Linked DNA regions of Chlamydomonas reinhardtii. Each later gene encodes a partner of the first gene's protein in a complex. Links are inferred from orthologs where the notes say so. Each region holds a gene or a part of one and is shown in the gene's direction. Other genes may lie near its edges.

Region 1 (4,433 bases):
TAGCGGGCGTAGCGGTCCATGCGGTGGTCAAAGGTGACTGACGACTGCTTCCATTTGACCGAATAGGAGAACTGCACGTCCAGCGTGTCTGCGGTCGTGATGTCCACTGTGCGCATGGGGTCGCTGGACACGTTGATCTCGATGATACGGTCGTCGTTGTAGGACAGGTCGAAGTGGAAGTGGGTAAAGAGGAAGTACTTGTGCGTACCCTGCTGCACAATCTTCTCCACCTTGCCGATGAAGCCCCACACAGGCAGGTCGTCGTAAAACATCTGGGGTCAGAGCCGCGGGGTCAGAGATAAGTACCTAAGCGACGCTCAACAGGAGCACGCACAGGAGCACGCACAGGAGCACGCAAAGAGAACCTAAAGGCAACTTCTTGGGGTAGACGGGGCATATGACGGGTCAAGCCGCTGTTGTGCTTTGGCGCGCACCAGGAACTATCCTCTTCTGGTATGTGCGACAGGTTGCGGGGCAGGTGTGCAGGGTGGCAAGGCCCAACATGCACACGGTAACCCAACATGCGGGCAAACTGCGAATGAGGGCAAACACGCAATAGAGGTGTTGACCGGCGCATGGGGTGTCAGCGACGAGTACAGGCCGGGAGTTGCTGGCAGCGTGCACCGGGCCGGGACGGACACGTCCTGGGGTACACGCGCCCGCACACCCGCTGGTCCCAGTCGTGTCAACCCGCCGCACCTGGAAGTAGTAGTCCTGCTTCACGGCATCCCTGAACTTCTTTAAGTCACCAGCAGTGAGCGTGCGTTTGCAGAGCACCGCGTTCTCAACATCGGTGCGGAACTGCAGCTTGTAGGGAGTTGTCACCAACCGGTCGCCCTCAAGCACCTCGCCTAGGAATTCCGTCTTATACTCCTTGCCGTCAGTGGGCTGGCAGAACGGCAAGTTGTAATACTGGTACGTTTCCCTGCAAGGCAAGGAGCGAAAATCGCGCCGCGTTGGCGCGCGAGCTGGCACCGCTGGCTGCAGCAAAACTACTCACGTCGGGTTTTGAAAGGGTCCGACTTTGTTTGCATACAGCATGATGTCACTTCCGGGCTTGAATTTATGGTCGCTGCCCAGCAAGACTCGCTCCGATGCTACGAGGGCTACAGCGCTTCCGAGCAGCGCTGCCATCAGCAAGCTCGCGCGCAAGCGCGCCATACTGCCAAGTATACTTTGAGGCCTAGCCGCCCTCGTCAACGCGCAAGCTTTTGGCGACTGTTGCGACGATCCTAGTTCGAAACACAGGTGATGCTACTCGTTGTTGTTCAGCATAAGCACGAAGGTACAAGCGCGAAAAGTACAGCAGCAAACTGACATTTCAGGTCTGAGAGAAATTGCATTGCAAATGGAAGTGCGATCGGGCCCCGCATTGCAGCCAAACACACCCTGATCACTGTAGACATCGTGTAGTCGTATCGTTTACTCTTGTGTTTAGCTTTTGAAAAACAGGCTTTGCTTATAGGCACGGCGCCGCCGACTTAGGCCGCTGGTTTATTGCAGAGGCGCTGAAAAATGGAGGCCATCGCTCCTAAGCCGCATAAGGAGCTCGTGAAGACGGTGCAGCTTGAGGGTCAGGTGCTGCTGAAGATTATCCAGCATTGCACTGAGGCGCTGCCCCAGAACGTTACCGGCCAGCTGCTGGGCCTGGATGTTGGTCAACAGCTGGAGGTGACGGACTGCTTCGCGTTCCCGGTGAGCGCTGAGGATAGCAGGCGCTGAGGGCGCCAAGCGGACTTTTGGGCGGCCCCCAGATTGCTCGCGTTGTCGAGCACGCATAGCAGGGGAAAGTCGCGTGTATCAGCATATGCATATGCACAATAAAGATCGGCGATGGTGTGGGCCGGGTGTGTGCAGGCTACCGTGGCGGACGATGACTCCGAGGCAGAGTCGGCCGGCGCCAACTACCAGCTGGAGATGATGCGCTGCCTGCGTGAGGTGAACGTGGACAACAACACCGTCGGCTGGTGGGTGCAGTCAATGCGCGAGCTCGCGGGGGAAAGGAGAGGGAAGGAGTCAGGTGCAAAAGCAGAGGAGGGGGAGTTGACGTGGGGAAGCGCCCTTGGGAAGCGCCCCAAGGCGGGACGGTACCGTAGCACTCATGCTAGCCGCCGGGACATCAGCGGACAAGGGCATGTGCGCACTACATGAGCGGCACGCTAGCTGCGGCAACCACCGTGTATGAACCGCCTGTCAGAGTCCTTGCCTGCGGACACGAGGCCCGTTCGGCCGTTGGCGGGGCTCGAGACTGGCCTGGGGGCGACATGGCCATCAGCCACCCGCGACAGTACCGCAAGCAGAACCTCGGGGTAGCAGCCGCCGAGCATCTTCAGGGCTGGACCCGACTGCGCACCATGCGCTTGCCTACGAACCGTGCACCTGCCGGGCCGCACCCCACAGGTACCAGTCGGCCAACATGGGCACCTTCCAAACCGTGGAGCTCATAGAGACGTTCATCAACTACCACGAGAACATCAAAAAGTGCGTGTGCATCATCTATGACCCCCAGCGCTCATCGCGCGGCAGCATCGCGCTCAAGGCGATCCGCCTCAAGGAGTCGTTCATTGAGCTGAGCAAGGAGCAGAAGCTGACGCTCAAGGGCTTTCGCGAGGCCAACCTGTCGTGGCGTGATATCTTCGTGGAGCTGCCCATCCGCATCCGCAACAGCAACCTGGTGCAGGCGCTGGTGGCGGACCTGATGCCCGCCCCCACCGCGACCCAGGCGGACGTGGAGCGACTCAACCTGTCCTCGGCCCCCTTCCTGGAGCGCAACATCCAGTCGTTGCTGGAGTGCGTGGACGACATTGTGGCGGAGCAGCAGAAGGTGACCATGTACCACAAGAACGTGGCGCGCCAGCAGCAGGCGTACGCGGTGTGGCTGGCCAAGCGGCGGCAGGAGAACCAGCAGCGGCAGGCTGACAACCAGGAGCCGCTGCCGGAGGAGGACCCAAATCTGTTCAAGCCCATTCCCGAGCCATCCATGCTGGATAACTACCTGGTGACCAACCAGATCGCCACCTACTGCGACCAGGTCAACGTGGCGGCGGGCGAGACCATTCAAAAGCTGTTCCTGATGGAGGGCATGCAGAAGGCGGGGTTGTAAGCTCGAGGACCTGCGAGCGGAAGAGCAGGCGCTTGCTGGGGCTGCGGGCTCGGCTGTACAGACCCATGACCACGGGATGCAGACACGGGATGCAGGAGGATGGCACCGCTTATGATGGGTGCTGTCGCAGAGGCTGTGCTTGCAGGGGCCAAACATGAAGCGCGTAGTGTGTGCTGTGGGACTGTAGTGGTTTGAAGGCGGAAGGCGCTGTCTGGTGCAACTGCTCTACCGAGCACACCTACCAGTGGCATTAGTTATTAGGTGCTCAGTTTGAGGGACAAAGGGCGGGATGGGATTGGGTGGGGCGTTTGTGGTATGGCCGCGTTGAAGCACACACAGCTTGCGCTGTTTTGAGCGCGCCAGCTAGCGGCGCATAGGCAGACATGACGAGTGCAGAGTGTTGTTGCTCTAAGAGGGTGGACGTAACCAGTACACGATCAGACATTGTAGGAGGACTGCAGGAGTGCAAGTTGTGAGGTGTCGCTGTGTGCAACCCGCGGCAAGGTCCGTGACGGTTGACTCTCCTCGCGAGGGCGAACATGGGCGCACGTACAAGTAAGACAGCCCACATTCCCTACGCGGCAGGCTCTGCCTTGTCGGTATGTAAGCGTAACGGCATCTTCGCGCGTTCTCGTGCTCAGATATGTTAAGTGTGGTGCCCTCCGTTCATGACTGCGATGCGTGGGGTGGGTATGGGAGGTCGGTGTGCGTGGCTTAATACGGGAACATGGGACTGCGCCTCCCAGTGGCACCCCTGACGGCTCCTTCGCCAGCCTGCGCAGCCCCACAGTGCAACTGTCATTGCAGGCAAAGCCGCCGGCTTTGAGCAATGCGCCGACGCCATTTCTGCTTGTATTGGATTTGTAGGTATTAGCCTGAACTAAACCAAGGGGGGAGGGGTGAGAATCGCGCAGGCACACCCCACACTTCAAACGGCCTTTAAATCAGGGGGGGGGTAGAAAGCTCAATTTCTTACCCCATGCTCAAAATTACAGAGCTTAAGGAGAGCATTATGCACGTGCTTTTAGTTTTTCAAGGGGGCGTCTGGTGAGGAAGTTCTGGGCCGCCAAAGTTGGGGGGTCGGTCCTCGTCCCTGGGGGTCCGTCGGGTTTCGGGAGCCCATCCTGGCGGATTTCGGGAAGCGCCCCACAAGCAGAACTAGGGGCCAAACGCAGCAGTGCGAGGCTCATATGTGTACGTTATGACGTAGTAAGCACAAACCAAGCGTGGGAGGGCTAAGTTGCGCGTCCGGACGTGGACATGTCGGGACATGTCTCCACATTCAACACATGCGCACTGACACAGCTGGGCTCTGAAGCGCTGATGCGCA
Region 2 (4,480 bases), on another chromosome or scaffold:
CCAAACCGGCTGCAGCTAACCCCAGCCCTTACTCTGATTCTGGTTTCCAACCAGCTGCTTCTGTAGCAACCTCCCTCCGCTCTTTCACCCATGGCCATGACACCTCCGCGCTCTCACCCGCATCCAGCAGGAACATGTCGTACAGGTAGTCGGGGCTGTCACCCAGCAGCCCCTGGTACTGGGCCAGCAGCAGCGGCTCCGCATACCGGTCCAGCTTGGGCCGCCCCTCAAACTCCGCCAGCTCCAGCACGTTGCGCAGCGGCGTGCCAGGCGCGGAAGCGCGTCGGGAGGAGGAGGTGGAAGCGGAGGAGGAGCCCTCGGGCGCGGGCTCGTGTGTGTAGGCGGGCGGCCGCAGCCCCAGCACCACCAGCAGCGCCTCAGCCTGGCGCGGTAGCACGAGGCACTCCTCGTACGGCAGGCCTGGGCGCGGGGCAGTCCGGCAGCGGGTGGGCGTTGGGGAGAGATGAGAGTGAGGAGGACGGACGGCGCGCAGGGCGCAGGAAAGGGTGACAAGGGTGCAGGAACGGGCTTCGCAGTAGTGGAGAGTAGAACGCTGCTGGCAGCACCTGATGGCGAGCAAGCGCAAGGGCGCAGACCCACTCACTCCGTATGGTAATGCTCTCCTCCTCTCCATCCTCCTGGGATGATGATTTCACGGCAGCTTTGCGTCTGGATACGCGCTTCTTGGGCGCCTGCAGTTCCCCATCAGGAGCCGCCGCCGCTTCCGGGCCCCCCTCTGCAACTGTCTCGGCTGCTACCTTAGTGCGACGCGTGCGCGTAACTTTTGGCTTTGCTGCAGCTGCGCTATCACCTCCAACCTCTGCTACTCCGGATGCTGAAGCAGCGGCCTCTTCGCCCGGCTCGGCAGCCTGCGCCTTGCGGCACGAGGCACGCTTCTTGGGCACAGCCGCTGCCGCCTCGGCGTCGTCCTCACTCGGCCCAGACGAGGGGTCCAGCCCTGCCTCAGTCGCGCTGTCAGTGGCAGCGGTCTTGCGGCTAGCCCGCTTCTTTGCCACTGGTACATCATCGCTGCTGCCGCTGGGCACGGCGGCGGCCGCGGAGGTTGCCCGGCGAGTGCGTTTGGGCTTGGGCGGCTCGCCGCTGGCACCGTCTACCGCTGGCAGGGCGCTGTCGCTATCAGCGGCAGACGAGGCAGCGGGGAAGCTGCGGAATCTGGGGATAGGTGCTATTGCAGACCACCTGTTGAAGGTCTGCAGCAGCGGCAGCGCCTGCCGCAACCGGAGGAGCATTGTGGAAGGTGACAGGACGCGAAGGGCGGGGCTGGCGCACGACGCTCCTCTTGATCGCTCGAGCGCCCGGCCCCTGCAGAGCCGCTCAAGGCGCGACAGTCTCTCCTAAAGCACGCGATAATTGTGGGGTTCGCGGCGTGTTCGGAGCAGGGAGAGAGCTTGGCGAGCTGTCGAGACGCGCGCTATGCAAGAAATCAGTTTCCCAGTGCGTGTATACAGCTTTACGTTCGTAGCTCATGCAGTATCGTTGCACTTCACAGACTAGAGAGTGGATTCTACCGCTTCGGAGCCCCATCATCGGCCATCGCAGCGTCGCATCCCAGGGTGAGCATCCACTTGTCTTGGTTTTCTTTTACGTTGACACTTCCTTTCTTTACATACCAGTTAAAATGTCTCTTATCGTGACTGGTGCTGATCGTTACTCGCCGGACAAGCTGCCACAGCTTGAGGCGTATGTTGATGAGCAGGTAGATCTGTATTTCTTAGCAGCCCGTTTAGTCCCCTGGCCCCTTGGTGCCAGCACGGCGACACATGCTCGGCGGCGGCAATTTGCGCTGAAAGCGTCCTGCACTGCTGCAGGTCGCGAACCGCTCATGGAGCCTGGATGCTAATGTTACGCTGCTGCGCTTCTACCAGTTCAGCCCGGCCAGCGTGAAGCCTGCCATTGTCGCTAAGGTGCTTATCAAGGCGATCATGCAGGCGCCCGCGCAGGACTACAAATGCTGCATCACGCTGCTTCCAGAGCGCCTGCTGCAGGTGTGCGAAGTGCAGTGGAATGGCGTTTAAAGCGTCAGGGCCTGGGGGAGGGGGTGGGTGGGGTGGGTTAGGGGCCGCACCGTGGGGTGCCGCCCAAGACACGCGGGGAATGCTGTGGCACCTTCATGGCTGTTTCCACACCTCTCCTGTTCCACTATTGCTCCATCCGTTGCACGAACCCTGCATTGCTGCAGTCTGACGAGTCGGTGTACAAGGTGGTGCAGCTCGCAAACGCGCTGGAGACCAGCCGCTTCGGCGACTTCTGGAACGCGGCCAACACCTGCCGCGACCTGCTGGGCGGCAGTAAGTGCAGCGCACGGGGACCTGGCTGGAGTGGGAGCCACTCAGCTAGGACGCAGGGGTTTTTAAAGGCAACGGATGCGGAATCAGAGGCAACAGAGGCGCCCCGATTGCCACACGTCACGAATGCCAATTAAACCAGCTCTATCTGCTGCTCTGCTGCAGTCCCCGGCTTCTACGAGTCGGTGCGCGGCTTCATCGCGCACACGCTGGTGCACACCTACGGCCGCGTGACCAAGCGCACGCTGGCGGACTGCCTAAAGCTGGAGGGCGCCACGCTGGAGCAGTACGTGAGTGATGCATTGCGCTTACGAGTTTCTTATGGGGGGGCGTGGTGGCGGCAGTGTCTCCGTGTGCGTTTACATGTGAATGGTGCGCAGTAAGCAGGGCTGGGTTGGGTAGAAAGGCGTTGAGGAGCGTCGCTTGAGGACGTGAGCGAAAGGGTTAAGCTGTGTGCATACGGCGGGGTGGGAGATTGTGACGCCGGCTTGAAGGTCCCTTCGCCAGTGCGCCTCATCAGCTAGCATCAGGGTAAAAACGCGCCTGCTGGCTGCTTGCTTCTGACCACAGCTGTCTGAAAAGTGCAAGTCGGCTGGCTGGAGCATTGTCAACACGCCCGCTGGCGAGGTGGTGGGGCTCCCCAAGAAGTGAGTACAGGCGCAGAATTCTGGACTGGCCTGCGGAGGGGGCGGGGTCTGCTGGCATTGCTAGGATGAGGGGCCGGGAAGCGGGGCACGCGGGCACACCGTGGGCGCACGCAGAGCTGAAACAGCTGATCGAACATGGTAACATGTTTGGTGCCTCCTGTGCCACATGGCATGATAGCGCCGCGACATCCCATGTCCACCTGCCCACCTCCAATCCTGCCGCACCTGTACTCTGGAAATGCACACCCCGCAAACAACCTCTCCTCCTCCATCAACACTCACCTACATATCGTGCTTATCTAGTATCAGATTGTCCTAAAAACTGGGGTTGTACCCCAAGTGCTACAAGCTCACGCCATTCATGGCCCTCCTGCCCTGTATTACGCCCGCGTTCTGCCCGCAGCGACGACAACCAGTCGGTCGTGAAGCGCACCCAGGAGCTCATCCGCTTCGACCAGGTGGCGCCCATGCTCAAGGCCGTGACCGTGGGCTTTTAAATCAACGCTACTACTGAAATTACTTGACGACACGACCATGACAGCATGACACACAACCATTACTGTCAGACTCTTCTAGGCATTAGATAGAAGACCGTTGGATCCCGGTATGCCCATCGGGTTGTAGACTTGAGTGCGTGAAGGGCATTCGTTGAGAAGCCGTGCCCCGCCTTGGGGCGGTCCGCACACGCATGCGAAGGCATCGCAGAAGGCGTTACTGTACTGACTTTGTTCGGCGGTATGGCACCCCATTACAAAGGAGGCTAGCTGGAATAGTACACGGCGCTTATGTAGCCAGCTGCTGGTGGCGTGTAGCGAGCTTAACGGGAGCCATCGCCTTGGCCAAGCCACGACAGCAGCCCCTTGACGGTGCTGCCTAGGTTCTCCGCAGCGGCGACGCTTGCACTGCGCGAGCCACCGCCGCTGCCCCCCGCGCCAGGGCCGCTGGCACCGCCAGACTCGCTGCCGCCTGTAGGAGCCGAGCCGCCGGTGCCGGGGCGCGGCGCGCCTGCGGACGGGATGTTGCTGCCGCTGCTTCGCTGCGGGCTGTTGTGCGCCGGCTGCCCAGTGACGCTGCGCCACAGGCGCTGCAGCTGGTCCAGCGGGCCGGGCGGCGGCCGCTTGGCGATGGATGCAGCGCGCTCGGCAATGTCGGCCTGTGTGAAGAGATGGGGTTAGAGGCGCTTAGCTTGGAGGCACCCACAGGAGTGCCAAGAGTGCGCAGTATGCATGCGCGTGTATTGTGTAACGTAGAATTTGTTTCGCGTCCTTTGCGCCGTTTGCTTGCTTGGCCCAGATATCGGTACTCTCTGATGCAGACACCTTCCGTACCCTGCCCACCTGCGATTGCGACATGTCCTGGTACGCGGTCGCGTGCGCCGCCGCGCTGGCCGCCCGCTCCTCCGCCTCCTTAGCCGCCTCGGACGCCTGGGCCACGCGCGCTTCCGCAGCCACAATAGCGCTCTCCGCCGCGCTCTCCAGGCCAGCCTGAAGTCACGGCACAAGGGAAAGCAAACGTCAGCTACCCGCC

The links.
Region 2: CHLRE_16g676314v5 (region 1) and CHLRE_12g515650v5 share a complex: the UniProt entries of both Arabidopsis thaliana proteins name them as parts of the eukaryotic translation initiation factor 3 (eIF-3) complex. The link is inferred for Chlamydomonas reinhardtii from reciprocal best matches to the Arabidopsis thaliana genes TIF3H1 and EIF3K.

Annotation. Positions count from the first base shown.
Region 1 is NC_057019.1:3,507,396-3,511,828, forward strand, and holds CHLRE_16g676314v5 (uncharacterized protein), read left to right. Parts: upstream 1-1,419; 5' UTR 1,420-1,515; coding exon 1,516-1,695; intron 1,696-1,857; coding exon 1,858-1,967; intron 1,968-2,400; coding exon 2,401-3,103; 3' UTR 3,104-3,722; downstream 3,723-4,433. Other genes in the region: CHLRE_16g675958v5 (uncharacterized protein), read right to left, coding at 1-272, 700-925, 1,001-1,041. UniProt on the Arabidopsis thaliana protein: Component of the eukaryotic translation initiation factor 3 (eIF-3) complex, which is involved in protein synthesis of a specialized repertoire of mRNAs and, together with other initiation factors, stimulates binding of mRNA and methionyl-tRNAi to the 40S ribosome.
Region 2 is NC_057015.1:3,875,174-3,879,653, reverse strand, and holds CHLRE_12g515650v5 (uncharacterized protein), read left to right. Parts: upstream 1-1,611; 5' UTR 1,612-1,639; coding exon 1,640-1,717; intron 1,718-1,829; coding exon 1,830-2,006; intron 2,007-2,200; coding exon 2,201-2,309; intron 2,310-2,471; coding exon 2,472-2,596; intron 2,597-2,876; coding exon 2,877-2,953; intron 2,954-3,356; coding exon 3,357-3,450; 3' UTR 3,451-4,106; downstream 4,107-4,480. Other genes in the region: CHLRE_12g515700v5 (uncharacterized protein), read right to left, coding at 118-420, 605-1,250; CHLRE_12g515600v5 (uncharacterized protein), read right to left, coding at 4,135-4,218, 4,291-4,437. UniProt on the Arabidopsis thaliana protein: Component of the eukaryotic translation initiation factor 3 (eIF-3) complex, which is involved in protein synthesis of a specialized repertoire of mRNAs and, together with other initiation factors, stimulates binding of mRNA and methionyl-tRNAi to the 40S ribosome.